Linked DNA regions of Oryzias latipes. The protein of the gene in region 3 interacts with the protein of the main gene of each other region in a pairwise test. Links are inferred from orthologs where the notes say so. Each region holds a gene or a part of one and is shown on either strand. Other genes may lie near its edges.

Region 1 (10,158 bases), on a different chromosome or scaffold from region 3:
TGATGCCCCTCCCCGTGCTCTATCTCTCTTTGGCTCTCTTTCTTCCTCTCTTTCTTGTCAGGCGTTGGTCATTCTGCCTTCGTTGCAAAAATGAAAGTGATTCTTCAACACCTCCTCCCATGCAAAGTTGCAAACTTTATTCATAAATAAAAACATACAGTTACATGTCAGAAATTTTCACATTTTGTGTTGTCGTGGGAGTTGTAATTCATTGTCGTTTGACCATTGTTGCCCTTTTTATGTGTTGGAATGCTGGCAGGAAGGTCATGTTGGTGTTTCTGTTGGAAGCTGTAGACCCACCTCTGGCTGAAGGAAATTGCATGGAAAAAGGGATGGAGGGATGATAGAGAGAGAAACCTGATTGTTTTCCCACTTTAAAGAACCACTCCAAGGTATATTCTTTTTTTTTAACATGTTCTTTTAACACATTTTTCATGATATAAAAAATTTAATTTAAGTAACATTTTCGTTTTTCTTTCTTTTTTTTAGAAAATGTTATACAAAGAAAATTAGGATCAAAGCTGCATTTCTGAGTATTTTTTTTATTCAAATTGTTGTGAATCCGGAGCAAACAAAAAATGCAGTTAGAAAAAGCTTGTAGACGTGATGTAGAAGCTACAATTGGCCGGCTCCAAGCTCCCTGCTCCGCTCCATTCTGATGCCTCCACTTGTAGACGATTAAATCCATTTACGTCTTCGTTCTCCTTGAGCATCTGGGTCAGAACTGGATAGCTCCGTACTTTTGTTGCACCACTAATGTTAGCTTGGGATTGTGAGGGGCTGTAAGCTTGTAAAGTCCCACGCCGATCATATTCTGACCTACTTTAAAAGCCTTCCCAGTGGTCTTTTAATTATTATTACGGTATGCTGTTTTGGCTAAAATAATTTTTTCAAACAGTGTCGTTTTCTAGAACATCATTTCTGCAGAGAGGCAGTACCTCAATAGAAATTCACCTCTGTGGCAGGACTGTTGGGGCAGAGCAAGCCCACCCCCACTCCCCATCATCAATTTGTTTACACGATCTCCTGCTAGCTTACAGCCCCTCACAACCCCAACTTGACATTACTAGTTCAACAATAATAGCAAGCAATATTGGAGCTATCCAGCCGTACAGTTTTGAGCCAGATGCCAGCCGGACGAGGAAAACAAAGACATGCATCTGCATATGTCTACAAGCTGATGCATCAGAATGGAGCAGAGCGGAGAGCTTGTGGCCTGCTGGTTGTAGCTTCTGCGTCACACTTACAAGCTTTTTCAAATTGCTTTTTTTCTGTCTGTTCCTGATTCAAAATGGTTCATATAAAAAAAATACTGAATTTTGTGTTCAACTTTCCTAATATATATCATCAATTGTCAGAAAAATGTCCCAATAGCTTATTAACAACACAAATAACACGATTTTCATCTGAGTGAGTCTTTAATAACCTTATATTGAAAAAATGAACCCCAGACTTCTCCTTTCTTGAACTTCCATAAGATTCTATCTTATCCACCATGATTTGAGATCACCATGAAGTCAAAGCAACATTATCATTTGATAATGGTGGTAAAATCAGATTTTATTTTAAAGCAAAAAAAGTCAAAAATCAGACATCACTACTTACCTCATTTAGTCATGGCTCTTTTTTTGTCAATCTTACATCCTCCAGGCTGCTGATGTTAATTGCCCTACATTCTTTATCTGGAAATGGTCCTTGGAGTCATCTAAATGAAGACATGCACCCTTTTTTTTAACCTCCCAAAACAAAATGTGTGATTTCTTCACATGTTTGAACCAAATCTGAACCACAGTAACTTTTTAAAAGAAGAGCAGGCACCTTTATGTCTGGTTTCTTCAAGTATTTCACACGGATCGTACATTGCTTTGGACAAAACATCTTGTTTAGTTGACCATTCTCTTGAGGTCTCAAGTTGTTTTTTTTTTACTCTCTGCTGTATTGTTCTTGCTAAACGAGGCCACAATTTGCAACTTGAAACCTTCAGTTCACTGAGGAAATAAACCAGGTCAACTTCAGACTCAATACACCTCCAGATGGTCTTTAGATAAAATAGACCTTAAGGGCATATTATATTGGCTTTACTAAGACTTTTATGTTAAGCGTTTTAAATTGTAACTACTAATCGAGTAAATTAACAATAACTCTGACAATAGATTGATTAAGAGGCTTCAAAATCCCTCAATTTTTTGGAGGGGATATTTAGCATAAAGTTGCAGACAAGACTTAAGATGAGATTAAAAATGATCCATTTATAGTTCATAAACATGTAAATATGCATTAATTAGTATGGTGTGTAATACTCAAAACATGTTTTCAGGAAAGAAAAGAAAAACCTTACTGAAGTTTTCAGTTTTCTTGTAAAATGTGCATCAATTCAAAGGAAAGACAGAAGTGAAACTGTTGGTTTTTTTTTATCAATGTTCACATCAGAATTTACAGTCAGCAGACAACTTATTTTATCAATCTTTTGTTAAAACATATTTTTCGTGTAAAGATTTAATCAACAAAATGTTGTTTTTCTTAAAAATTTTGAAAAACTAAGTTGTTACTGCAGCTTCACATCAAAGTTAGGCACTTTTAAATACTCATTTTTATACTTGGATTTAATTTTAGTTTTCCATCAGATAAACACAAACAGCTCGATAAAGTGAGGTGCAAACCTGGTTGCTACAGTCCCAACTTGTGAAAGTGACTCTAGCCCTGAGAGAGATCTGTTTCTTCATGCTTGCTGCCATCAAGTGGTGTGAGTGTAACCACAGCTGCAGTTTCAGTGCCAAAGACATCCCTCTGGTTCCCTGCAAGTTAAAAAAACAACAACACCAACGTTCAGTTCAGGTTCCTACAGAGTTTTGTGCTCCTTGTTCTGTTAATTTTTTTTTCTTGAATCATACAATTCTCATTAGTTCGCATGATATTACAATGTATTTTTGTTATCAGGAAGACTATGTCGGGATGACATCACATAATTAATAAATAAATTAAATGATAAAAGGTTATTTATATAATATTAATCATTTTTAATCTAACTTTTTATTCTGAAGCATGGGGGTGTAAACATCATGATTTGCAGCTGCTTTTCTTCAAAGCAGGACGACTGATCCGTATTAAGGAAGTGATAAATGGGGCAATGTATGGTGAGATTTTGGGCAAAAGCCTCCTTTGAGGCCCTCTGTGAGAGGATTTCGCATGAAGCATGTCTGGATCTTCCAGTATGACAGTGATCCCGAACACATCGTCCAAGCAATGAAGGAGTGGCAACAAAAAAAAAGCATATCAAGGTTCTGGAGTAGTCTATCCAGCCTCTGGATCTCAATCCAAAATAGAGAATCTGTGGAGGGAATTTAAACAGCAACAGCCCCAAAACATCACAGCTCTTGAGAAGATCTGTAAGGAAGAACGGACCAAAATAGCCGCTACAGTGCAAGCCTGTTGAATATTTCCAGGAAATACTTTGTCATTGAGGGTTTACAAATACTGAGGGGACATTTCTTTTCGACCAAATACTTGTTTTATAGATTTTATCTTCACCCTGTATAGACCCAAGCACGTTTTTTTTCTCCTTATAATTGCGTGGAGTCATGTTTTTTTCCTTTTTTTTTTTACATAGATGTTTTAGTCTGTTATTTGTAAGTATCTTTTTCTTCTTTTTATTGTATTTTTTTCTTTTTTAGTTTTTCTGAGCCACACAGGCACTACGTTTTCTGTTTGGTCCTTGTTTTCCCTTTTCTCTAAATACACAGCCTACAATTGTGGATTAAACTAACTGACCAAAGCTGGGTGTTGCTCATTCTTTTGTGCTTTCAGGACTTTCACATTACTAAAGTAAATACTATTATGAGTAGTCATTGTTATACCCTAAATTGATAATATAAGTTAATTGCAGTTTGTTGTACATTGTTCATTTTACATCATGTTTTACCTCTGCAGGTTTTAATGAAAGTATTAATGCTATTCAGGACTCGTGTACAAATCTGTTGTAAAATTACTTATGAAGAACAGTAGCATTAATCTTTAATGTGAAAAAAAGGTTGAAGGAAACTTTCACAAAACTTATCACGGGCATTTTAATAATATATTAACAAAACGAGATATAAAAAAATCACAAACACGAACACACACGACAAAACTCCTGAGCATGCCTTGAACGCATCATTGTGTAGCGTGGCGAGGGCGGAGCGTATGACGTCGAGCTGAAGCTCGAGCTGTTTATTGTTCCTTCCTGAGCACCGACAGAGAAAAACAAGCTGTCAGCTACTCATTTGATACGGTTCACGGCCCGTTTTACTAAGGTGTAACGGTTAAGAAAGCTGACTGTACAAAGCAGGTGCTATGGCGTACGCGTACCTCTTCAAATACATCATCATCGGAGACACAGGTAAGTAGCATCAAGTGCCAGCTAGACTCAGCGGTAGGCTATCTTTCAGTTAGCGGCTATTTCCGCAGTGTTGGATAGTCCAATGACGTGGTAAAAGCAGAGACGCAAGGGGTGGGATGACAGCTCCGATTTTCTCCCCCGTTTAATACATCCGAACCAAAACCAAAAAGAGAAATAAGAAAAATAAAAACGGTCGTTCCGTAACTAGCTCCCCCCCTCACCCCGGTGCCGTAGTAGCTGTTGACACCGGCAGACGTTGGGCCTTTTGTCTGCTTGCGTCGAGGGTGGGGGTGTTAGCCGCTAACTAGCATGCTAACTGGCTACACCTCTAGAAAAGATTACAAACAGCTGTCACGACAGCAAGTTAGCCTGTTTTTTCGTGTCAGTATACATAAAAATAAGTCGTAGCATTCAATTATTTTTGTTTCTGAAACATTATCTTTACTAGTTTTGGAATAATTTAAACTTAATATTAGACAGGGCCATGATAGCGTGAAGCTAAAGCTCGTAATAATTTTTCAAATGGCGTAGACAGAGCTTGTTGACTCTTAGTTTGACCACATCTATTTTCGCGGTTCACATGTCCCCACTATACTCGATTTCTGCTTTCTATTGGTAAACGTATTTATGGTTTGGTTACACAAATGTCTTCGAGTGTTATCCGCTTATTTTTTTGACAGATTGTATTGATGATGATGGGCCTGTTCAAATACACGAGCAGCAGGTGCATATGAAGAAGAACTGCTGTGACAAGAAAATCTAGAATCTTTAGTTTGACATAAGCAGATTCTCAGGAATGTGATGGGGACGTCTGATCTTTAATGGCTCAATCGGATAGAAATACCACGTTGGCTGAATGAAAATTAGACAGCAATTGAAGGTAAACACACCGAAAAATAAAACTTTAAAATCATAAACTAGCTCCAAACATTGTAGAAAAGATCCTTTCTTCTCTCTTCTGGACTACATGGTTCTTGCAGAAGAGGTTCATGTTTTTATTTGTTAATTTAAGAGGTTCATGTTTAGCTCGTTATCATTTATTCCTAGTTATCAAAGCTGTTTACAGCTCTGGCTAATATACCAGCTCAATTCGGAGGGTATTTTCAGAAAAACAGACCACACAGCTCACATCAGCGGGGCTAAGAGTCATCAAAATCTTGAAATGATAACCACAATATGTGAGTGTAAATTCTCCAGAACTCTCAGTTCTAGATTTCATAATGAAGATCCAGCGTAGAAAACTTGAACTGCAACTTTGTATATCCATTTTGGTTTAAACAGGTAATTTAAGGTTAATGGTTACCTTCTGGTGAAGGATTTTTACTTTACTGGGTCTTTAAAATTGTATAATTATTGCTTGGAGGAACATAAAACTGCAGTTCCAACTGCAGATTGTAATAATGAATCAAATCATGTGGTTTTAATAAAAATAACAGTAATTGCGTCATCAACAAAGGGGTTACTAGCTTGAAAAAAATTCCTTTTGCTCAGGTCATCAGCAGTAATTGGGTAAAACATTCTCTGTCTGAATTCACTCACTTCTCCCTCTTAAAAGACTATCCAGTGTCATTGATTTCACTTTTCACTTCAGTTTGGACCCATGATCACTACTTTTTGTAGTTTTTTTGTTGTTTTTTTAACTTAAAATATGATCTCACCCGTTTGTCAAAGTAAAAACCTTAAAAAATGTACATTCTACAAAGACTATTTATGAATCTATTGTGTTCTGATCATAAAAACTTAATGATTTATTTAAAAACAATGCATTCATTCAAATGACAAATTGTTCAAATGCAATGTATTGTTACCTGTTTTCGCCTATCCAGTGACCATCATGCACACTAGTTTTTTTGCAGAGGTTTCTTGGAAATTTCCAAGCCACTGGATTTTGGAATCATAGATTCATAGTGAGTAGTGTGTGAATTCTGACACTTTTTACTTTATTATAGATGGTAAAGTGACGAAAATATTGACGTTAATATACAGTGAAAAAAAATCATCACAATTGAAAATTTGAAATGTATCAGCATTGACAGAAGGAACATCGTCTTGGTAGTTTGGGGTAAAGTATTTTGATTTTACACATTCCTTTTTTAATGATAATTATAAATTGTTATTGGTATCACTTCTTTCTGTGCTGACAGGTAAAGAGACTATTTTTGACATAAATATTAAAGCCATGCTTTTCACTGGGCCACTTGTAATCACCTTTAATGTATCTTGTAAATCACAAACTAATTTCTCTGTGCGGATGCTAATTTGGTTATATGTAATGTGCTGTCCTGCATGCAGACATCCTGAGAAAGAAATCGTTTTCTTTGTACTCCTCGGCTGTATAAACTACACACTGAAGCATATCTTATGGAAATTTATCTGTTTTATGTTCATTTTTGACATCATAAATGAACTTTAAATCATTGGTGTTACAGGTAAATATCAAGGGATAGTGTTTAGGCTCTTGTTAATTTTTCATATCAGAAGTTTGATAAAAATTGTATTTCATTTTTATCCCCACTGAGTCCGTTTTCATTTAATTCCTTAAGAACAGAATTAACCTCATCTTTCATAAGAAAACTATAATTCTGGATAGATATGTTTATGAAATGGGTGTATATTTTAGCTTATATCATAGCTATAGTCCGGATATAAACAGGACTGCTTTGCTTTTTTCCCTTTTTCATTTTGATATCATTTTTATTTTTAAATGTATGTATATTATATAATTACAATTTTGTTTAGTCAACCATTCAGAATAGTTTAATTTAAATTTGTTCATATTGGAAACTACATTATTAAATCACTTGATCTAGATTTGATTCATTTATTATTTCAAAACCATTTTTAGATTGCAAAATGTTTTCTTTTTTCAAAGATGCAAAGGTGGCATTTTAGGAAATTGATGAGTGGATTCTAATTATTCATAGCAAATTTCTTAAAGAAATATCAAAATGAATACGTTTTACAAGTTGTCTTTTTCTTTTTTACCCAACCCTTATTAATAACATGATTCATTCATGTCAAAGAAAAATAAATAAATGACTAAAGGTTCATGAGTCGGTTGTGGTTTTCTTCAATAATGTCTGTTAGTTTATATTCAATACTTGCTCAAAGCTCAACCCTGGCCTTAACCTGTTACTCAGTTTAGAGAAATAGCTGTTGGCATGCAGCTGGCTTTAGTGAAATGAGCTTTTAAAGGATGACTAACAGTTTCTAAGATCACACCCTCTTTTTTTACTATTTTTTTCCCTCGCTCTCCAGATTCAAATGAATGATGCCTGAAAGAGAATAGATAAAAGCAGCCTCCATCCAACATGGAGGGGAGACATTGCCCCCTTATATAAGACAGCAGCTGGACATGGAAAAGCATAATATTACATGGAGCTATTGATTAAGTTCTGTTGGCTTTTTGGCCTGAGGTTTAGCCTACAGACTGATTTGATTGACAAAACTGAATATGAGTTGAAATGGAAAGTTTCTGCTCTTCTTCAAAGCCCTAAACAATAAAGTAGGCTTTGTTCTATTGAACACTGCCTGCAGAACTCTAAACCTCCAAGTTTTGACCCCACTTTTTAATGGGCACTGAGAAATGGAGGCATTTGTTCTAATGCTCAGCTGGAGTTCACTTGGAGCGTCGTGTTTAAAGCAACCCATTTATTTAACAAGTTACAATATTCAGAGTTTGGATTAGGTTTGAGGGGGAAAAAGCTTCACGTTTTCTGTGTGGTTCCATAGTTGTCTTTGACAATGTTTATTTTAAAAGAAATGTTCTCCAGCTAATGAAGGAAAGAATGGCCCTGATGATGGTTTTTAGGAATGTTAACCAACAACCGTGTGTCTCCCACATTCCTGTGATTTACTTTGATTTCTGGAAAAGATTCTCAACATTTCTTCTGAAAGAATCTGAACGTGTTTTCTTCTTTAGCTTGGCTGCTCTCCTCAGGGCTCGCCACAGCAACTATGGCTTCACTTTTGTTCTTCCTGGCAAAAACCTTCTGCATTTGCTCAGAGCTCTGACCAGCGCCTGTAAATCCACTTGATCTTGTCCCTTTTTTGGTTGCATTAATGACCTTTTAAGGCTTTGAGGGCAGTTTTAAACAGACTTACAGTGATGTGTTTGTGCTTTGTCAGGTTTCACAGCTCTTTGGTGTGATGGGATGTGCGAGGACACCCGTGCAGCCTGCTTTCATGTTCAATCCTCTGCAAAGAACGTGGTGCAATCATTTGACCTTGCAAAATTTCTGCAAACCAGTCATGAGCAGTGCAACATCAGGTTTAGGCTGTAGTACGACACATGTGGGAAACCTCACCTGCTATTGATAAATATGTATGATTTAACTTTAAAGTCAATTATTCCTTAGTCCCAAAGATGGATTTTGAGAATATATTAACCTTGCTCACTTTTCAAATCCACTTTGTTTTGAGTTAATTTAAAGACCCACCCCGATTAAATATGTCTTGTTGTGTAGAAAATACGCCGGGCGTATAAGATCCCTGATCCGCTCCATTCGTATACATCCGACGACTACATCCATGTACGCTGCCATGAGCTGGCATTCGGCTCAAAACCGGACGGCTGGATAGCTCCAAAATCACTCCCCATATTTTCTTGCACTGTTAATATTAGTTTGGGGTTGTGAGGGGATGTAAGCTAGCGGTAGAGAGTGTAAACAGATGGGGGATGCGGTGTTGAGGGTGTTTTTAATTACTGCCGCGCTGCAGAAACTTTGTCCTAGAAAACAATCGTTTTTTTTTTTATTTGGGTGAAAAATAGCATCATCATATTAAAAAAGACCACTGGGAATGTTGTCAAAATAGATCAAGAGATTTATCTGAGTAGGGGCTACTTTATGAAAATATAAAATGTTAACATTTCTTTGTTTTACTACACAACTAGTTTTATGACAAAATATCTTTATCTCTCCTTAAATGATGGCATTTTTTTCTCTATGCAGATTTTGTCTTTACAAGAAATTGTTGTTTTGTTTCTTAAACTACTGCTAAAGCCCAAAAACCACATGGGTAAGAGGGCTGTCCTTCCCTTCATTATCTTAATCAAGTTCTTGTTTACATGTCAACAGCTAAATGCAGCTTTTAAAAACTGTAGAATGACATTAACTAGATGATGTGTCACTCTCCCAGGTGCACTGTCTCTTAATATTTTTGTCACATTGTGGTTCTCCATACTCTTATAACAAAATCCTAATTTGCAACATTTGCTTAACCTTTATCATGTAGGGAGACTCTCCACTTAGATTGGAGGGACTAAAGGGTGCAAAATGACTTACCAGTGATTTACACAATTACTGAGTCTGACTGTTTACTGAGAGCAATTTAGTTATTCCACTGGCGATTCAGCCGTCCCCTTCTTTGGCTTTGCAAAAAGCCCAGCAGGACTGTCAACATCCGAATTTCCGCTGCATGATGAGGCATGATGATGTGTTATTACCTCAGCCAGAAGCTGATGGAAAGAGCTTTCAGAGAAATATTACCCAGCTCTCCACTCATTATTGTTACCATTGGAGCCACTTTCACCATTTCAAAGCACAGCTAGCTTTGATTATACAGCAGTTCTCTGCACACAGTTAGTAGACTACATATCTGCTTTCATTCAATGAGAAGCCAGAGGTTTCACATTGTGTCAATATTCCAAGAGGATATCATTTTAAACAAAGCTATTCTGTCAAATTTGATGCAGTTTGATTAAAAAATTTCAATGTTAAAGTAAGGTTTTCATTGACAAGTGAACTCGGGTTCTCAGTTTGGTTCTGCCGAAGTTCAAGTGA
Region 2 (10,381 bases), on a different chromosome or scaffold from region 3:
GATCTGAGAACTGGACCGGCTCCGGTTTTCAGGCCCAGAAGGATTTTAGTTCTGAAAGAAAGTGAATTGTTTTTGGGTTTGGTATCTCTGCAGAATTTCCCTCTAAAACGGCGAGAAGCGAAGAACTTGATAAGTTCAAGTGTCGTCTTAACGGTGAAGCCGGAAGAGAAGAATCGTCTTTAAGTCTGTTGGCGGCGTGCGTTAATTTCTGATGATGCAGACTTAAAGGCTGTTAACCCGCTTATGTCTTGTTGCTACCTTTCTTTTGTCCAAATGAAGAAGCTAAAGTTTGTCTGAAAGAAGCCGGCGCAGTGATACAGAACGTTCAGGCAGTGTGACCGGAACTACTTTTTATGCGCGTTTTATCACTTAGCAGCCAATCAGAGTTGAGGATTCAGCCAGACAATCATAAGTGAAGAAAAACCAGCAGGATAAAAGTGTTGATTGTAAAATTGCTGATGCCCCCCCAGGCGTCCCCCCCTCCCCCCACAGAAGTGCTGGCCCTGAACCCGACCCCCCCGGCAGCAGCACATAGCCTGCTGGTGGACGTCTTTTCAGACCTGTCGGCCCCCACCGCTGTGGCGGAGGACCACCTGTCCAGGTGAGTGGTCCCCCTCCCCCGCCCGCCCCCTCATCAGACTCGGCCTGACGTTCTGCCGCGTCTCCTCAGGTTCGTCTGCAAGAACAACGGCGTTCTGTACGAGAGCCAGCTCCTGCAGGTGGGACTGAAGTCCGAGTACCGTCAGAACCTGGGTGAGTGTCGGACTGAGTGTTTATGATCCACTGTCTTCTGAAGAGAAAAACCTTGGTAGTTTATTAAAAATTACATTCAAATACATTTTTTTGTTAAAATTGTTCCGACGCAATGCATTGTGGTCTATATTTGCAGATCTAGGCTGTGTCTGAATTCCCACTCTAACCCTTATATAGCGCTTTCTCCAGGTTCTAGTTTGTCTGAATCTACAATTCCAAAATCCAGAGCCTTAGAAATTTCCCCGAAGTCTCTGAAAAACCAGTGTGCATCGATGGTCACTAGATCGGCGAATATAGACCACAATGCATTGCGTCGGAACAATTTTTACCAAAAAAATGTATTTGAATGTAATTTTTAATAAACCATCAACGTTTTTATCTTCAGAAGACAGTGGATCATAAATAAAACGCTCATATTAATTAGATTGTAACTTCCTGAAATCAATGATGTCATATCTGCTGTTTAAAGAAAATAGTAGTGAGCGTCCAGGGCTCTACATAGAGCCGCACTTTGTAGATTTTTAGTAGTTAGGGCGGGAAATCAGACACGACCCTAGTGAGCATCGATGCACACTGGTTTATCGCAGAGACTTGTGGGAAATTTCCAGGGCTTTGGATTTGGGAATTTGAAGATTCGGACGGCACTAGAAATGGAGAACGCACTATAGAGTGGGTAGGCAAGGAATTCATGACCTCTGACCTTCCACCCAGCAGAACGTCCTTCTCTCTTCCTCCCAGGTCGCATCTACGTCTTCTACGGCAACAAGACGTCGTCTTCGTTCCTCAGCTTCAGCTCGTGGGTGAGCAGCAGCGACGTCCTGAAGACTCATATCCTTTACGATCCCCGAGGACGCCGGCGCCGCCCTCCAGCCCCGAGCAGATGGAACCTTGACCGCCGCCTCCACAGCTGAACGTCCACGCCAAAGCCGTGGAGCCCGTCATCGAGGGCGGAGCCCAGGTCCAGCAGGTCCTGAACATCGAGTGCGTGACAGATTTCTCTGACGTCCCCGTGCTCAACGTCCAGTTCAGGTGGGTGTTTAGCCGCGCTCTTATTGTGAAAGGCCCGGCCCCGGACAGACGTGCTAACCTCTGACTCTGTATGCCAGAGCAGATACGCTGGGACTTTGCAGAACATTGAAGTCAAACTTCCTGTGATGCTGAACAAGTTTTTTCAGCCCACAGAGATGACATCCCAGGACTTCTTCCAGCGCTGGAAGCAGCTTGGAGCGTAAGCGTCCTCACCTCTGACCTCCATCAGCACGCCTTAAAACGTTTTCACTGGTTCCAGACCATCAGATTCTGCTTTTGGGGCCTGAGAGGAGAATTGAAACTTTAGTTTATTCAGATGTTTGAGATCTGGAGACGTTTTTGTGGGAACGCCCCCATCTCCCCATGTCAATCACAACCCGATTAGTTCAGCTGATGCTAACCTCACATGCTAATGCTAACGACGGGCCCCGCCTTCCTGGCCAGAGGTTCTGGTGCTGAAGCTTTCTCCATGTTGGTTTGAAACGTCACAGCGTTTCACCTGCACCTTCTGTCCATCATTTTCCACCTTCACTGTGTCCTCAGACCCCAGCAGGAAGTCCAGAAGATCTTCAAGGCTCAACATCCAATGGAAACGGACGCCGCCAAAGCCAAGGTGAGGAGGACCTGCCCCTCACCTGCAGGACCGCTGTCAGCTCATGGTCAGCGCCGTAGCAAGCACAGGACCTTGAAAGTGGCCACGCCCATACCGTCAGCGTGGTCCTGTCACTTGTGGCAGCCATGGTCCAGAGGTACGGCGGGCGACCTCTGGTTGGAATGCTGCGGGTTCGATTTCCGCCTTGCCAACCCATGTGTTGAAGTGTCCTTGGGCAAGACACTGAACCCCACATAGCTCCTGGTGGTTATGGGTTGGCGTTTGGCAGTGGAGCCGCCATCAGTGTGTGACTGTTCGCCGTTTACCGTCTTGGTTGGCTTTCAACCACGAACCTTAGACTTTAGGTCTATTTTTGACTGGTTAACCGCCATCATGCCACGCCATCACCGTCATGGAAACCAGTCTGTGTGGCCCTGCAGAGGTCTGTGGGTCTGTGGGACAGTCAGTAGCGCTGCACAAACGTCTGACCCGCTTCCTGTGCGAATCCTGCAGCTCCTGGGGTTCGGCGTGGCGCTGCTGGAGGGCGTGGATCCAAACCCCGCCAACTTCGTGGGAGCCGGGATCATTCACAGCAAGAGCGCTCAGGTGGGCTGCCTGCTCCGGCTGGAGCCCAACACGCACGCGCAGGTAAGACGGCCTCCACTCTGACCTTTGACCTCCCCGGGGTGGCCATGCTTATGCGTGACTGTGTCCCCAGATGTACCGCCTCACCCTCCGGACCAGCAGGGACTCCGTCTCCCAGAGGCTCTGCCAGCTGCTGTCAGAACAGTTCTAGGCTCCGTGCCGCTGTCGCCGCTCTGCTCGCCGTGTTCCAGTCTGGAGAAGATTTGCTCCGCCGTGGAGTCGCCGTTTTTACCTGCTTGACATGGAAGCAAAGGTGTTTCTGCACTGATGTGTCACAGCGTTAAATGTGTGTGTTTGTGTGTGTTTTCACACTGAGCACCTTAGAAAACTTCCAGCTTTTTCAAACTTCCACATCGGCTTAGCAGCTGAAGGACTAACGGACGGAAACGTTCATCCAAATGTGCATTTATACCTTTAGGGAAAAGTAGAAATACACGACTTGTGTATTTCTACATCTGTTGGTACTTTTTTTTTTTACTTTAAATTGTGTGATGTGGGCGGGGCTTTTCATATTCTGAGCAGGGATTGGTTAGTGGGATTTTCTGCTCTCTGTGATTCTGTACGTTTGATACTTTCCAGGAGACTCAAACGTGTTCTAGACTAACCACAGTGGGTCTGGGCTCTGGCCCCGCCCCCTCACTAAGGTTTTGACCTTTGGACATTGGTGAATGAGTTCAAATGCGTCCATCCTTCAGACCTTCAGCAGTGCAGAACGCTGCTGCACAGGACCGTTCTGCATGTGTCGGATGGGAGATTCCAACGTCTTAAAGCACTTCTTCTGTCTTCTGGAGCTTTCACTGCCAAAACGTTTGTCATTGAGACGCTGATGTGCCTGGAAGAGAATCTGATGCAGCTTCTTCCCTTAATGTGTCCTTAAGTCTGTTTGGGGCTCCAGGACTTCCCTCAACTTTATAAAGTTTGGTAAAAAAATCATTTCTACTGTTGTCTTTTTGTGGTTTTCCTCCTTTTTATCTTCATTATCAAACGTTTGTTAAACAGCTAAACAGTTTAGGGTAAATAAATTCACTTTGGGGTTACGCTCATGTTTCACAAGCTTTAAAGCTGCCTTTAAGTTCCAAATGGGAAGAAAACATTTCCAATAAACTGACCTTCACAGTGGGGACGACCTGAGGAAGCAGTTTAAACCTTCCATAACTGATCTTCTCTGCGTCACGTCAGACACACTTGGAGGTGGTTAAACGATTTCAGATGAAGCTTTTAAAGAAACAGCTGGAGAACCGATGGGGGCCAAAGTCTGAACGACACACCAACACCGCTCTGGGAAACGGAACCAATCTACACATCTTGTCATTTCAGTTTCCTGTCCAGGTTAAACCACAAAAAAATGAGAACAGACAGGATTTCAATGAAAGACTGATCCACACTGAAGATGTAAATTATTCCATTTTACTTGTATGAATTGTAATTTCAGAACAATTTACGAACAAAAACGCATTTCATTCAAGAATTAAGTTTGTTTTAGAAAGTTTTTCATCCAAATATTTTGATGACTGAAGTTAAAATTATGAGAAGAATTACCTTGAGGTTTGACCGATGCGTTTGAGAAAAACGGGGATTCGGAGATTCGTTGGGTTTTGTGTGGAAAGAATCTCGAGTCTGTAATGTCTTCTTACATTTCTATTGATTCCATATTCAGACAAACATTGAATACATTTGAGTGCTACATTGTATAGGATGAAAACTGTAACGACAACAGAAATTAAGCAAGACTTAAGAAACCAAAGCGGCTTTCTTACTGCCGGAGAACAGGATTTTCAGAGCGACCGCGAACGCAGCACCGGAGAGGCTACTTGCGGAAGTGTGTGAAAGGAAAATCACATGACCGAGCTGCAGCCGCTCCAAGCGCTACCCGACATGGACAAACGTCTCCGGACACGGTGACCCTTCACCGAGCAGCGGCGTGGGCTCTGACACGGTGACGTCCACGGTGAGTGGGGCTGGCGGGGCGGTCGGTTTCTACGCCGTTAACGGGGTTACCGCGGGGTTCGTTTAGCAGCTAGCCGCTATTATGGCTAACAGCTGCCCCCGCGCGGAAGCAGCTGAGCCCGGACACCCCCGCACACACACTTGAGTCACCGTCTCTGTGTCCGCAGATGGAGGAGATCAAGGTGTCTCCAGACTACAACTGGTTCCGAAGCACCGTGCCACTTAAGAGGGTAAGTTCCCGCCTCGTCACGCGCCTCACTCCGGAGCAGCTGGACCGTCGCCGATGCGATGAGGGCTAACGCTCGCGCGCGTTGAAATTCTTATGAAACACCTGCTCTCGTGGTCACGTGATACAAAAGCACCCCAGGTGTGAAGGGGTCCATTCCGTGACGGGTCATCGGGATTCTGTCCTGCTGGATCAACCTTCAGGTTCTGATGAGCCGAACCTGTTCAGAACCGAGCTTCAGGACAAACACAGCTGAACTCCTTAAACCCAGAGAGGTTATTTTTCTGAAACTACATGCACACCGTTCAGACCAGGTGTTCACACTGCGCCTGCAGGGAGGGGCTTCTTCTTCTTCTTCTTCTGTTTACTAGCCTCAACCTACAGTCGGAGGAGGCTTGCTGTGAAATGTCCTCCAGACTTTTGTGACTGACTCTGTCGTAGAATTCGGTTGGTTCTGTAAATGAACCCTTTAATCGCCGTGGCTTTAGCGCCCGTGTTCTTTACCGTACCTGGTTTTAAAGCCCTCCTATTCAAAGGTTGAGGATTACTTTATATGGAAATGAGGGCGTGGTCTTTAAGCTGACAGGTGGTGGTAGTATCATGGTCTCTAAAGCACACGTTAGCTTGTCACGCTGTCTAAGAAACGTTTTACAAATGTTATGCACTAATACTTGATCTTGTGACCTGCTTCCCTTCTGTTCAATAAAATCACCATGAAAACAGTTGACAAACAACAAAATAAGACCAAGAACGCACTGCTTAGACCACGCCCCTTCGCCATTACGTGTTTTCATTTTGTCCCTTCTGTCTCACCTGTTTCCTGTATTCACTTTTTAAACTGGTTTATGGTTTTTCTGGAGAACCACAGTTTGGAAAAATGAAGCTCCGCTCAAACAGATGTTTGATAAAATCATAAAGTTTTTATGATTTTGCTCAAATGTTGTCTTTTTTCAAATTTTATTTACATTCAGATTGTTGTAAACATTGTTTTTGTGGTTAGTGAATATAGTAGGAAGACTCTGCATCTCATTCCACAGCAGAAAAAAAAGGTTTTACCTTGGAAAAAGGAAGCTTGGAGCCTGACAGCTGTGTTTCTATTTTAGTCTAAGAAAATATCACAACGTTTTCTGCTAAAGATGTTTAATTTAAACCTCACAAATCCCCTCATGAGTGTCAGGCGTCTCTGCATTTAGTTTGTTAGGTTTTTTTCAAGATTTGTGGTCAATTATTGCTTAAACAATCGTTCTGATTGCTTTAGTTCATGACTTTTGTGTTGAGTTCTGCGTGAAAATGAGAAATCTGAGGCTGGATTTCAGCGGCACGGATCGCCCTCTTGGATTAAGATGAGATTAGCTTTCAGAAAACGGGTTTGGTCCTCGGATCTGCTGTTTGGTGGAACAACGGCTCGCGTTGTCTTTTGGAATAAGACGATTATTCCCGTCGGGTTTTTAGCTCACAGATCTCTTAAAAATGGGGATTTGTTTGGCGTTGGAGCCGACACCCGGCTGGTTCCCGCAGCTGGAGGTTGAGCCGCTGCTGCTGAGGCTCTGAGAGGTGGAGAGTCATGTGACGGCGTTCATCACCCAGCCGTCACATGCTTCCCTCAGCTTCACACGGGCATCACATGTGCTGCTTTTACTGGCACGAATCCACTCGTTTTCCCTCTGCTCACTCATGCACTTCAGGAGAGATGCATTCTGGGACAGAGAGGTTGAGTGACTGATGCAGGTCAGCTTCTGGCAGCACGGCTTAAAACCCCCCAGACAAGTTTGATCTGAAGGATTTAAGATTTTCAGAAAAACCTCTCTGCAGATTCTTTTGTTACCACTGACTGTATACCGGAACTGGACGGAGGGGCCCCTCCCCTTTGCTACAAACAGGAAGTATCTGCAAATCAACAGCTGTCATTCTGTTGGTCAGAAGAACCGTTCTGGATCGGATACCTTTTTGTTTTTAAACATCTACTTGATAAAACTCTTTTTTTTTCCTGTATCTCAAGTTAGTCAAGTCATTAACTGGCCAATCAGACGCCTCAATAAAAGTAGGCGGAGCCTGTTGACCCCCTTGTCCAGTGTTCAAAACGTTTACAGCTTTCCAGTGGTAGGGGCGTGGCCTTCCAACAAGCTCACTCCTGATTGGTGGGAGGGGCTGCCATAGAACAAAGCGTCAATGCTAACATTTTAGCTGTTAGCACATGAATTCTTCAACTGGATGCTATTTGTTCTGGTTTTGCTTTTTAAGATGCAGAATTTTCTTTTTCTTTTTTTAGTTGGTGTTTTTCAGCCTTTGGCTCCGGTTGATCATTTTGGTTGAACTCGGCCTTTTGAGTTCTTCTTGTGGTCGCGGTTCACTTCTGACGTTTGTGCTGCTGATCGTTTAGTGTTCTGCTTCCTGATTGGCTGTCGTCAGTCCGTCTCCTGAACAGAACCCATCAGATGGTTGTTCTCCTGCTATCGTCTCATGTTTCTCCAAAGGTCTGACCTGTCAGAGTGAAACGTCTAGAAAGTCTTCAGTCAGGAGTTTTCTGCCTTCAAACATCTAGACTCTAACGCCGCCATTTTCATCCATCGCAGGTTATTTTTTACAACAGAACCCGTGTGATGAACAAACAACCGAACCCTTTATGGACCGTCATGACGCTGTTGTATTTTCGTAGTATTTAGAGATTCATTTGTATTTGCTTTTTTTTGGCCTTGTTTGGCATGTTTCTGCTTCTCGCTGCACTTTTCACATTTTTCCTCTTTTGTTAAACTTTTGTGATTTTAGATTTTAGCATTTCTTTCTTTGGAGCGTTCTCTTCTGGTTCCGTTGGTTCCGTTGGTTCCCCGCCCTCTCTGAGGCGAGTTCTCTGGTTTCCTGTTTCCTCCAGATCATCGTGGATGACGACGACAGTAAGGTGTGGTCTCTGTACGACGCCGGCCCGAAGAGCGTGCGCTGTCCCATCATCTTCCTCCCGCCGGTCAGCGGGACGGCCGAGGTCTTCTTCCAGCAGGTTCTGGCCCTGACGGGCTGGGGGTACCGGGTCATCTCGGTAAGCAGGTTCATCCTGTTCTCCTGCACATCTTCACGTTAACTCAATCCTTTATGTTTACATGTCATTTATCCGCATCGGTTGATTCCGGTCGCTGATGAAGGTTCTGATGAAGAGTCCGGCCTGAACGGATGGTGCAGCGTTTCCCTGAGCGTCTGGACTTGACGGTTCCTCTGTTCTGGTTTCAGCTGCAGTACCCGGTCTACTGGGACCTGCTGGAGTTCTGCGACGGCTTCAGGAAGCTCCTGGATCACCTGCAGCTGGACAAGGTACCTGTGTGGTTCTGAGGTGAAACTGTGTTGGGTCCAAACCCGTGGGGGCGTGGACTGATGAGATTCCTGTGCCCCCTCCCCCTCACAGGTCCACCTGTTCGGCGCCTCACTGGGCGGGTTCCTGGCCCAGAAGTTTGCGGAGTACACCCACAAGTCTCCCAGAGTGCACTCGCTGGTCCTGTGCAACTCCTTCAGCGACACCTCCATCTTCAACCAGACGTGGACGGCCAACAGGTGGCGCTCTCCGCTCGTCGGCAGGGGGAGCTTGCCGTCTTCTGGCGTTCACGTCTGTCTCTGTTTCAGCTTCTGGCTCATGCCGGCCTTCCTGCTGAAGAAGATCGTTCTGGGGAACTTTGCCCGAGGACCCATGGACCCCAAGATGGCCGACGGCATCGACTTCATGGTGGACCGGGTACGTGGACGCCGTGGCGGTCTGCTGCGGACCGTCTCTGAGCTCTGTGGGGATTTTCTAACCAAGCCGGCGTCCTTGTTGTGCGGTTGTGTTCCGGTTGTTGAGCTTCTCCTCTTGTGCGTCTGCAGCTGGAGAGTCTCAACCAAAGCGAGTTAGCTTCACGGCTAACGCTCAACTGTCAGAACTCCTACGTGGAGCCGCACAAAATAAAAGACGTGGCTGTGACCATCATAGATGTAAGTGTTCCCGCCCTCCCCACCGCTCCGCGCTCACCATCAGTGCCGCCGCCGCCTGACTGTCACTTCCTGTTCCTGTTGAGGTGTTTGACCAAAGCGCTCTGTCGCTGGAGGCCAAAGAGGAGATGTACAAACTGTATCCCAACGCCAGGAGAGCTCACCTGAAGACCGGGGGGAACTTCCCGTACCTGTGCCGGAGCGCCGAGGTCAACCTCTATATCCAGGTGACGCCGCACGCCGGAGCGGGAAACGCCTCCAGATGTTTCTACTGCAGTTCAGCGAGTTTGATCCCTTTCTTCCTCAGATTCACCTGCGGCAGTTCCACGGGACGAGATTCGCCGCCATCAGTCCTGACATGATCAACGCCGAAGAGCTGGAAGTCCACGCCAGCCGCCAGGACTCTGACGACGACCAATGAGCCGAGGCGCCGCCTCCTTGCAGCAGGAGCTTCCTGACAGATGATATTTTTACTGGACAGAAGATATTTTCATATTTTTGCTTTACAAACTCTCAACACTTTGCCTTAAGAGAACTCAACCGCGGCGGCGGCGAACCGCGGCGGTCTGTCGCTGCACTGACCTGATGCTGAACAGGAGGCGTCGGGACGAGCAGCAGATTCTTCTTCTCTCTTTTGGAAAAGAACCTTTGTTTGATCTTCATGTTTTCTTTTACGTCTCGGGTCCAAATGCTGGACAAGAACCTCTCAGCTGCTTCCTGGAGCCGTTTGGGAAAAAGCAAATCCCGCCGCCGTCATTTCAGAGGTTTTATTTATGATTGTTGTTGGAATAAATCACGGGTTCTCCGGTCTGAAGGCGTCCTGAATGTAATCTGGCTGCGGGACAGAAGCTCCTCAGGCTTCCTGTGAACACATTCGTGAATACGACGCAGCACAGACGTCTGCAGCCGGGAAACACCTGCAGGCGTCTCTGTCGCCACGTCAAAGGCCTTCATTCTGGTTTCCATGGAAACCAAAGGTCAGCTGGGAGAACGTGGAGGAACCGGCTTAGAAACGGGACCTTCTCCGGCCGGCGCCAACCCCCTGCGTCTGTGACCGATTCGTTCCACTTTGAGCGGCCTTGAGGCTGACAGGAAAGTGGAACCTGGTCAGTTCACCAGGTGACCACCAGGGGGTTTGGTAAAAAGATCCCCTCCAACTTCAGAACAGAAGAGCCTCTTTTCCCCCCCGGTTCCAAAAAGATCCTTCATTTCATGGTTGGAGTCCATATTTCTATAAAAAA
Region 3 (10,316 bases):
CTACCTGATAAAATGGAGCTACTACCAACCAAATGAGAAAAACTTCTCCTTTTCGTTTTTCTAATGCAAACGACAGAGAAAATGTATCGGGCTGTCACGACCCCATGCCATCTCTGTTTATGGAAACTTTAACCTTCATGTTTCCCGTTGTGCTGATATTTCATGTGTCCATTCTCACATCTTTTTATCTTTATTTCCAGTCTAATTAAACAATTTAAGTTTTGTTTGCATCCTGACCCGTTTCTGTACGAATTCTAAGACGCGTCTTCTCAGAGGAGACCACATGACTACACTTGAAGTGTTTTTTTGGTTTATTTATGTCAGCAATCTGGATACCTGTCACCCAGCCCTTGTAAAACCCCTGCTCTTCCTCGTGTAGGGGCCTTGTGTGCAGCTTTTGTGCAGTTTTTTTTTTACCATTTAAAGAGGAAGGTGTGAAAGACGCCCTTTCTTTTATGCCGTTGACAGGAGGACTGCCTTCTCATGCTGTTTTGTCACACTTCCAACTATGAAATAATGTAAGCCTTGGGAAAAAAGAAAAAAAAGTGGGCGTGACTTAATCTGTCAACAGTTTTTCTTTATAAAAAGGGACATGTGCTGTTTATCATTTACTGTAACTGGATGGATGAATAGGTGAAGGGAGCTTCAGCAATAATCAGTGGTTTGCTGGTGTTTTGTTGCCACATGCCTTACAGAAGAATTAAATCCTATTTCAACACCTCTCATCTGCTTCTCCCACACACAAACACACAGCCTGTTTGTCAGTACAAGACGAATTCAAGCTATAGGGTTTTTATAATGTCCATTAATTAATAAAGATGTGAGGCAGCAGCAACTAAAGGTTTTTCCCACTTCTCTGTCTTTCAGGTGCAACGGCCAGTCAGTGATAACTATTATCAGCTCAAATCCACAGCATCCTCTCCCGCCTGACTCTCCTGACTCTTTGAAGAAGCGGCGCATTCACCGCTGCGACTTCTCAGGCTGCAACAAAGTGTACACCAAAAGCTCCCATCTCAAAGCCCATCGTAGGACGCACACAGGTGAGGCGGGTTCTCAGCCATTTGTGGCATAAGGACGGCTCCTGTTTGTCTCGTCTTCAACAAGCGGTGTCTTTTTTCCCGTTCCGTGCAGGTGAGAAGCCCTACAAGTGCACGTGGGAAGGCTGCACATGGAAGTTCGCCCGCTCGGATGAGCTGACGAGACACTACCGCAAGCACACGGGGGTCAAACCGTTCCAGTGTCCGGACTGCGAGCGCAGCTTCTCCCGCTCCGACCACCTGGCTTTGCACAAGAAACGCCACCTCCTCGTGTAACACCTCGATTAAGTAACCTGAAAGAAATTCTGGGCCAGGTTGGACAGTGCTACTTTGACCTGAAAGGGTTAAAACAGCTGGCCTTACACAATGGACTCTGACAGAAGGTGGGAAAATGTTCCTCGGGTGCCTGTTTCGACCTTTTTTCTTTTTAACTCAGACTGAGCGAGAGCTTTTGAAAGCTGTCAGCCCTGTGATCAGCTGTGGAAGGTCCAAGAACTGTTTTTCTTTTTTTTGTTCTTTTTTAAGAGGTGCTGCTGCTTCTTAGCTGGCCTGAGAGCAGCGCCCTCTTGTGGCTACAAACCAAATCCCATCAACATTCCGTCAAGCCTCTGTGCACCATCAGCTATCATTCTCTATAAAGTTCATGTGATTTTTCCACACAGGCCAATAAAATGTGAAACTTTTCCAGAATGTATCATATCACACCGTCTATGCATTGTGTCATACTTCAGTCTTTTTTGCTGTCACCAGTGGATCTACCCGGTGACCCTCGTTTCCACTTCCTCCACGGACTGCCACGTTGAAACACCACACACCTCATCTGCCTCCGAAAGCATAACATTTTGCTAAATGAAGTGATGATCAGTAGTTTCGCACTTGCTTTCTCTTCGGTATATATTGCGTAAAACACATCAAAAACACTTGCACTTATTCAAAGTAGCTTTGCCGTAATTTCTTCATGCTTCGGGTGAAAAGAAAAAAGTGGGTCTCATTCATTGTCAGAGTGAAGTGTTTATGAATGCTTTTCTTTCAGAAATGTGAAAGTTGTTGCATTGGGGCATTATTTTGTGAGTGTGGGACAAAAAAGCATCACTCAGTTTGATGAGGGTAGAAGAAATGTTATTTTTTACCAATTACAGATTGATGTATCTATGAATTTTGACCGTGGTATCTGTTTGTATTGAATGACACTTTTTTATGCTAAAGAAAAATGATCTAAGCAGGGAAAATTTCTCAAAAAAATTTAGTTTTTCAGGAAAAGTAGTGTTTTTTCTTCTTCTTTGATCCCACTATAGAGAAAATTATGTGTTGAAATCAAGAGTCTAAAGTTTTTACTACCAAATGTCACAATAGGAAATGTTCTGATTTGAAAAAATCTGTTCATTTTTTTACACACCTGGAGAATAAAAGAGCGTATTTGTACATCTCCAACGTGCACTTTAAGTAATTTTATATGTATAAAATAGCATAGAGGTATATAAATCAAGAATATTGTCATTCCCAAGGCCAAACATTTTAATTCCTCTGTTTGGGTTCCCTTTTTTACCCTTAATTTGATGATCAAATTGATCAGAAATGTTCATCAAATTTGTCAAGTTCTAATAATATAATGCCTGTCTGTCATTTATTCATATGTATACAAATTTACATACAGAATGTAGCAGCTCAAGTGTTCTGCATTTGCTCCTTAATACAGTTTTTAATTGCAGTTTTTTGCTTTTTTCATTCTGCACATGTAAGTTGTGATATGTTATGATTGATTATTAAACAGAAAGGGCAATTAAAGGTTTTTATTAAGCATGATTTTATATTCAGAAATTTATAAGATGTCTTTAATAAACTATTTCTCTTTCTACTCTGAACTTTGTTCAAAGGGAACTTTATTAAACTGTGAACATATAACTGTAAAGGTCTGTATGCCATTTTATGTTTTTAAATTGAATATTCTTATTACTCAATAAACCTATTGGTAACATTTTCAAGACTGTCTATTTTTGTTATCTGTTATTGCCATTTTATTTGATTTTTTATTGGGGGGGGGGCAGATCTTGTTACATTATTTTTTAATTCCCACCATAAATTTTACACATGTCATTGAGTTTAGAGCGTTGTCTTCAATCTTAGAGCGTTAGTATTCATTTTTCCCAGACTTGAAATAGATTTTCTTGATTCGTTAAAAGTCAGAAAATTGGGCTCGTCCGGGATTTGAACCCGGGACCTCTCGCACCCTAAGCGAGAATCATACCCCTAGACCAACGAGCCGTCGTGCTTTGCATCAGAAAGATCAGGATACAACTAGTCTATCTATGATCAACTGTGATGAGTGCGTGTGCAGTGCCTTTATTAGAATTTTTTCAAGTACTGTAAATATCTATTAGGTCGGTAGATGTTCACAGTAAACTTTATCAAAATACTGACCTAAATTTAATTTCAATGCAAGTTAAATACGGAGATATTGTGTCTCATTATGTTACCTGTATTGTTAATATTGTATTTTTGATAAAGTCCAGTATCTCTAAACATTAGCATTCTGTGAACGGAATGACAGAAACTCTTTAGTAAAGATGTTCATCTTCCGGAAGTTAAAAAAACAACCTCCAAAGCTGAATAATGCACAACAGTTTACGTGGTTATGTTTTTTTTTTTTTAATTAAGGGTATAACATTACAAAAGAGCTAAATAATACTTTGAATTGCGTTAACTGTCTATTTCACTTTGGACTTTGAGCAAAGTTTATATTTGATGCAGGGAACTCTCTTGGTTTGTTGCTCTTCGGTGCCGTCACTGTGAGCAGCCTGCCGACGTGGCGGGGCGGAAGAGGAGCCGCTGTCTGGCACCGCACGGTGAGCCGCTCTGTTACTTTCTCCCTAATAACACCCGATTTTTCTGCTCTACAACGCTCGTTTGTCTGTTTTAACTGCAGAACGCAAACTTTTTCTTAACCTAACTATGTTTACCAGTTAGTTCAGTGCACACCACTTTTGTTAAACTCACTAGATTTCAAAACAAAAGTCATATTTCATAACACATTCATGAAAAACGAGGCTTTTCTGTGTTATACTTTTTCTTCGTATTTTTTTAATGCGTTTTCGTGCTGTAAATGTTTTTTTATTATCATTATTCAAGGTTGCTACGGTACCTGCAAAATGGCTTACAATGATGTCAAATGTATGAAATTGTTTATAGTTATAAAAACGATTTAAATACATTTCAAAATAAATGTAATAGGTACCTTTTCATTTGGTCAGTAAACTTCCTGTCTTGGCACAGGATTATGAGTATTATTCTTATCTGCGTAGGTTTATTTTGTTTTTGCTGTCTACAAGTTTTTACAAAGTTGAACAAAAATATAAATAATACACATTAACGTTGCTGCTTTTAAACTAAGTCACATGTACAGTTTATCAGAGAAGCAAACCTGGCTATTAATTTTTATTTATTTAAAGCCTGTAACGACTAAACGTGCACGTGGTTAAAAACATTGTGTGAGTCCTGCATTTACAGTATGTGGTCAGCAAATGGCGCTATTGGCCATTACATTTATTTTCATTTGGTTTCATGCGACTTTCATTGCAAATTCACGTCATCTATTATAAAATTATTCATCTTTTCAAATTGATTGGAGCGTTTTACATATACTGTATAGAAAACACACCAGAATATAATTTGTGATTTTTATTTATTTATTTTCAGTTTAAAAAATAAAGCCTTAAAGGCTTTTTATGTGTTGAAAAAGTTCTTAATATTGCTGTTTTTTTTAATATGACAATGCTGATAGGTCAAGTGATAGTGCTAAAGACACTGACATAAAGAAAATGGTTAAAATGTTTATTTTCATTGATTTAGTGACATGTCTGTTTAGTTTGAACTTTGTGCCAGAGGCCCAAATTCTGTAAACAAGCCTCTTTTCTTTTGATTTGTTTAAATTTTTGCAAATTATAAATCTTTAAATTCTTCTTTCACTTTTTTAAAACAGTTTTTACTTATTTTCAGACTGATTTTGTTTTTCCCAGAGGATTTTGATATTTCTGTGTCATCTGTTAGATGAGTCAGATGAAACATCTGCTTTTTTAATTCCTTCATGGTTTGTTGGGCATTTTTTAAATCCAATGCAGAGCTCCCTTTTCTTTGAATTTTGCTTAGAAGTTTGTGTCTAAATCATCATAATCAATTGTTGTATTCAATTCTGTCTCTTTTTAGAATTATTATTTAGAAACCAGTCTTAAATCGTATGTAAAAAGCAGACTTTTGTAGAGAAATTATTTTAGATAAGTACAGATCACTGCTTACAAGACTAATACAAAAACTAAATCATTTTTTTCCAGATCAAAATGTCTCAGGACAGCCCCTCTGAGGCAGAACTCCACAAAGATTCCAGTCCTCCACTTGTCCAACCTCTCTCTGCAAATCCTGACCCCTGTCAGGATGTCCCATCAGGCCCTGCAGGTCCCGTGCCTTCGCTGGGGCTGGAGCCACCTCTCCACCCTGAGACTTTGAGCATGCCGCATCCTGTTGAGGACACAGTAAGACAGGACACAACTACCAAGACGGACACATCCGAGCCAGCGGCAGAGGGTCAAGTGACCGAATGTAACCAGTCAGTGAGCCTGGAGCCAGATGCTGAGGCTGCAGAGGAGGATGAACAGGTTTGTGGCTGGATCTCCTCCATTCCAATTGATGTCCTCCACACACAAACACCTGCCTGTCGTCTTGCAGACAAACGTCAAAATATGTGTTCAATTTTACACATGTAATCTAGTTTTTAACCAATCGAATAGAAACAATTGCTGAGTCATGCTTTGTTATGTACATGTGTGTGACTGTGTGTGCAGAATTCTCTTCAACAGAAGGAGAAAAGTTGGGGAGGCTGGAGTTCCTGGGGAAAATCTCTCCTAAGCACTGCCACCTCCAGTGTTGGTATGTTTTCTGTGCTCCTCCTTTTAAAACGGCTCAAGTTTGGACATCATTTGGTCAGATCTTTTCTTTCATGAAGTATTTCAAATCCAGCCCTCCTCCATCTTATCTCCACGTCGTTTATTTGCAGGCCAGAGCTTGACCTCAGTGAAAGTGAAGGCAGGAGAAGCTCTTCGCCTCCACAGAACCTCGGTAGGAGAGGAGGCGCGAGAAGAGGAGGAAGGAGCAGAGGGGAAGACGGATGGAGCCGGGGAGGTTGAGCCATCCGGCGCAGAGGAGTCGACGTCTGCTGATGTCCCGAGCAGGGGCGTTTTCTCGACCATCTCACATGCGGTGCAGAACACGGTGAAGAAACGCAAACGTTGAAGCAAGATCACACAAAACCAGGGTTTACAAATTTTACAATACAAGCTGCTAAAATATTCTTGCTCCTGTGATCTTTAGCCTTTAGCCTGTGAACTTTCAGGCTAAAATTAATAAGTACATAAAAAAATGTCAAAATGAGAACATGAAAACTATTGTAAGAGCTAAAAACCCATACTGTGTTTTATATTCTAGAACAGTGTTTTTCAACCAGTGTGCCGCGGCACACTAGTGTGCCGTGGGAGATGGCCAAGTGTGCCGTGGGAAATTGCCCTCATTAACTGATCTAAAAACATTTTCCATCTCCAGGATTTTAGCTCTTTGTTCATCCAAACAGGCCCTGATAAAACACTGAGGAGTTAGGAATATAAAAGATCGTAAAATACCTTTTCTTTGCATTTATTTTATTTTATTAAAGACATTTTGATAAGAATGACGTACCGCGATTCAGCTGCACCTTCGGCTGTAATTTGGAAAAGTCCCGTGTTGGGGGGGTTAATCACATGTCATCGGTCTGACCAATCAGAATTGCTTAAAGTCTTCACTTCCTTGTCCCGATTTAGCTCGTAAAGTCGCTCAGTTCCGACAGAAATACCAGCTAAAGCTCGTCTTTAGCGGTGTAGCTTTCCACAGAATCCGGTATCAGACCGTGGAACAAGTGAACAAAACAATGAAGCTCCGAAAACCGATCTTCGGCCGTTTTATGCACTATATTTCCCATGATGCATTGGGTTGTGAGAGTGACAGCGCAAAAGGAGATCTGTTGTTAAACGTCTTGAAACTAACGAACACACAAACTGTTTTTAAATCTTCTAACTTAACTTTTATTGCATCTTTTAGAAAAAAACAGCTGCAGTTTCCAGCTTTTTCTGTAACAATTATCTCAAAAATGCATGTGAGACTGTGGAGGGAGGGGCTGTAGATCAATACAGACTGAGTTTCTCCTTTTTTTTTAATTTTTGGATGCTGGTGTGCCGCGGGATTTTTTTTAAGGTTAAAGTGTGCCGTGGCTCAGAAAAGGTTGAAAAACACTGTTCTAGAATACTTTTTAATGTAGAAAAAAGACGGGTCATTTGTGATCTGTTGTTGTTTTAATATTGTATAAAAGAAAAGAAAGTCAACACAATTTATAATTTATTTGAGGTTGTTGTTTTTTTTTAAATACATATTTAATCATAACCTTTTTTTTTAAACAATCTTTTTTGTTCCTTTTTCTCCTGAACTCTGTTCTTAGGGTAAGTCGGTGATCAGTGGAGGTCTGGATGCCTTAGAGTTCATTGGAAAGAAGACCATGAACGTTCTTGCAGAAAGTGATCCAGGATTTAAAAAGACCAAGACTCTAATGCAGAAAACCGCCTCGCTGAGTCAGGTATGCAGACGCTTAGTCATACCACTCATTCACAGAAACAAAAAGCTGGTTAAAAAACGAATGAGGAAGGTGTGTGTTTACACGGACAGAACAATCTGCAGTTAGTGATTTGTTTATTTGTAGCTTTTTATCTTATAGATATTGAAGGAAGCCAAGGAGAAAGACCAGGAACGGCTGAGTAACCAGCCGACGAGTACGCCCACCGCTCACTACAGCATTCTCTTTGATGAATACCAGGGCTTGTCACATCTCGAAGCTCTGGAGATCCTCTCCAACGATAGTGAAGCAAAGGTACAGTGTGAATTAGATATTACTTCAAAATATGCAACACATTCATTTTTGTGTTGGTTCAGCTCAAAACAACACAGTGTTTCTTGTTGGCTCAAATATTGAAATATTTTCTCACATTCTCAACGGAACAGCTCTAAAAATGTTCTCGCAAGAAAAATTTAGTTTTTTTTGTCGGTGCACTGTTAACAATATTTTTGTTACTTTATGTTCAAACTGTGGAGCCCTAAGCATGACATAAACATTATAAACCCATTCCTCAGATAAATACAATTTGTGGCCATGAATTAGTATTTTGTGACCATAATTTTGCATTTTGTGTCCATAATTTTGCATTTTGTGGTCACAAATTAGCATTTTGTGGTCACAAATGAGCAATTTGTGGTCACAAGTAAGCATTTTGTGGTCACAAGTAAGCATTTTGTGGTCACAAGTAAGCATTTTGTGGTCACAAGTAAGCATTTTGTGGTCACAACTTAGCATTTTGTGTGCATAAATTAGCATTTTGTTGTCACAAAGTAGCATTTTGTGGTCACAAGTTAGCATTTTGTGTGCATAAATTAGCATTTTGTGGTCACAAGTTAGCATTTTGTGGTCACAAGTTAGCATTTTGTGGTCACAAGTTAGCATTTTGTGGTCACAAGTTAGCATTTTGTGAGCATAAATTTGAATTTGTGGTCACGTTAGCATTTTGTGTGCATCAATTTGCAATTTGCAGTCACAAATTAGAGTTTTGTGAGCACAGATTAACAATGTGAAGACACTAACTAGCATTTTGTGTGCACACATAAGCTTTTATTTTTAAATAATAATTAGTATTTTAGTATTATCAGTTCCTAGTACTTTTTTGTGACCAAAATGGTCATTTGTTGCCACAAAAACTAATTTGTGACCACAAATTATTAATTTGAAGGAACTTTATTTTGGAATGTCATGTCCATAGCTCTGTAGTAAACGCGTGCCTAGTTGCCTCACGTTCACAGTGCACTCTTTCCTTATATCTGCTAGGTCCAAGCATTCCTCTCCTCCCTTGAGGAAGAAGATCAGGAGAAGGAGAAAAAGGAGCTGATTTTCATCAAAGAAATTTTCACCAGACAACAGGAAGAAGGAGAAGTAGAGGAAGAAGAAGATGGAGGACAGACGAAGGATAATGGTGATCTAAATTCCCAAATACACTGTTCTACCCCCTTATGTGAGTGAGCAGACCAGCTGGAGGTAGATGATGTCTCTGAACACTGACCCAGGATTAGGCTGACTTTAGTCAACTCTGGCTGTTGATTTAGTTTTACTTTTCACTGTTGATTCTTTTTTTTTTCTTTTCTCCAAACCCTGGACTAATACATTTTCATTGCAGCCTTGCATTGGTCCTGTATTGCTGCTGTGATGTACTGCAAAGCACCACATCCCATCATATTTATGGGTTTACATCTAGAGTCTCTGGTTGCATCTGCACTCTAACAAAATTTTTACCAAAGATTTTCAGAAAACTAGCAAAAATCAGGAAAATTGTCAAAAATCTAGTTTTGTCTTTTTTTTTTTTAGTTCACCGTTTTTGCAGAATTCTGGTATATTTTAGTTTATTTTTTGTATTCTAAATTTAACACAAAAGCTTTACCAAACACCTGATCAAAAAATAATTGCAATTTTATTTTCTTAAAGTTGTACAAAAATTTAGGACAAATGATCAACTATGAAGCAAAGTTGGAGCCTTACTTTGTCTCTCATTGTCTCAATTGGGCTGGAGTGTGCAGTGAAACTGAAGGTTATGGTAAGTGTTATCACATCTCTGGAGCCTTTAAACATGTGACACTGTGGCAATGTCAAAGCCCTGCACGTGGTGGCAGATCCCAACCTCATCCAGTGTCAGTGTTCAGAGGCAGCTGCCATGTTTTCACCTCAAGGACAATCACACCCAAATAGTAAATGTGCATGTGTGTCAGAATAATTACTCAGCTGTAAATGGAATTGTGACCGATTAGTTCATTCATTTGGATTTGAAACAAGAATCAATTGAAAATCAAGAGGAGAGGGAAATTATTCCATTCTGATTCCAGCATGGGGGAATCGAACCATCATCACACGTGCATGCCATAACATGAGTAAGTTTAACCTGTGTGTTTTTGTCAGCTGCGGACGGCGAGGAGTTTGTCAGTGTTCTCACTGAGCTGCTGTTTGAACTTCATGTTGCTGCGACACCAGACAAACTCAACAAGGTGACACACACGCACACAACGTCGCACTGATTTCAGTTTTATTTTGTAGACTTTAAAGCCACACTCTGAAGAGAATGGTGCTTTCAACATGTTCTTGTGGCATTTTTCTCATGATGGAGGATATATATTCAG

What was found.
Region 1: the proteins of fam114a1 (region 3) and rab2a interact in binary tests that used the Homo sapiens proteins (3 or more experiments, as listed by UniProt). The two-hybrid records come from large-scale screens. The link is inferred for Oryzias latipes from reciprocal best matches to the Homo sapiens genes FAM114A1 and RAB2A.
Region 2: the proteins of fam114a1 (region 3) and spg21 interact in binary tests that used the Homo sapiens proteins (3 or more experiments, as listed by UniProt). The two-hybrid records come from large-scale screens. The link is inferred for Oryzias latipes from reciprocal best matches to the Homo sapiens genes FAM114A1 and SPG21.

What each region holds. Positions count from the first base shown.
Region 1 is NC_019875.2:20,927,420-20,937,577, forward strand, and holds the start of rab2a (ras-related protein Rab-2A), read left to right. Parts: upstream 1-4,156; 5' UTR 4,157-4,329; coding exon 4,330-4,375; intron 4,376-10,158.
Region 2 is NC_019861.2:37,277,780-37,288,160, reverse strand, and holds spg21 (maspardin), read left to right. Parts: upstream 1-4,833; 5' UTR 4,834-4,967; intron 4,968-5,133; coding exon 5,134-5,196; intron 5,197-8,061; coding exon 8,062-8,223; intron 8,224-8,411; coding exon 8,412-8,492; intron 8,493-8,583; coding exon 8,584-8,729; intron 8,730-8,798; coding exon 8,799-8,907; intron 8,908-9,035; coding exon 9,036-9,143; intron 9,144-9,226; coding exon 9,227-9,367; intron 9,368-9,447; coding exon 9,448-9,561; 3' UTR 9,562-9,950; downstream 9,951-10,381. Other genes in the region: AP-2 complex subunit alpha-2, read left to right, coding at 471-601, 671-753, 1,492-1,581, 1,659-1,782, 1,865-1,981, 2,326-2,395, 2,888-3,022, 3,093-3,170. UniProt on the Homo sapiens protein: May play a role as a negative regulatory factor in CD4-dependent T-cell activation.
Region 3 is NC_019859.2:12,930,344-12,940,659, forward strand, and holds the start of fam114a1 (protein NOXP20), read left to right. Parts: upstream 1-3,772; 5' UTR 3,773-3,880; intron 3,881-5,362; 5' UTR 5,363-5,368; coding exon 5,369-5,683; intron 5,684-5,869; coding exon 5,870-5,954; intron 5,955-6,081; coding exon 6,082-6,296; intron 6,297-7,548; coding exon 7,549-7,683; intron 7,684-7,821; coding exon 7,822-7,974; intron 7,975-8,979; coding exon 8,980-9,163; intron 9,164-10,098; coding exon 10,099-10,184; intron 10,185-10,316. Other genes in the region: klf3 (Krueppel-like factor 3), read left to right, coding at 868-1,040, 1,132-1,313. UniProt on the Homo sapiens protein: May play a role in neuronal cell development.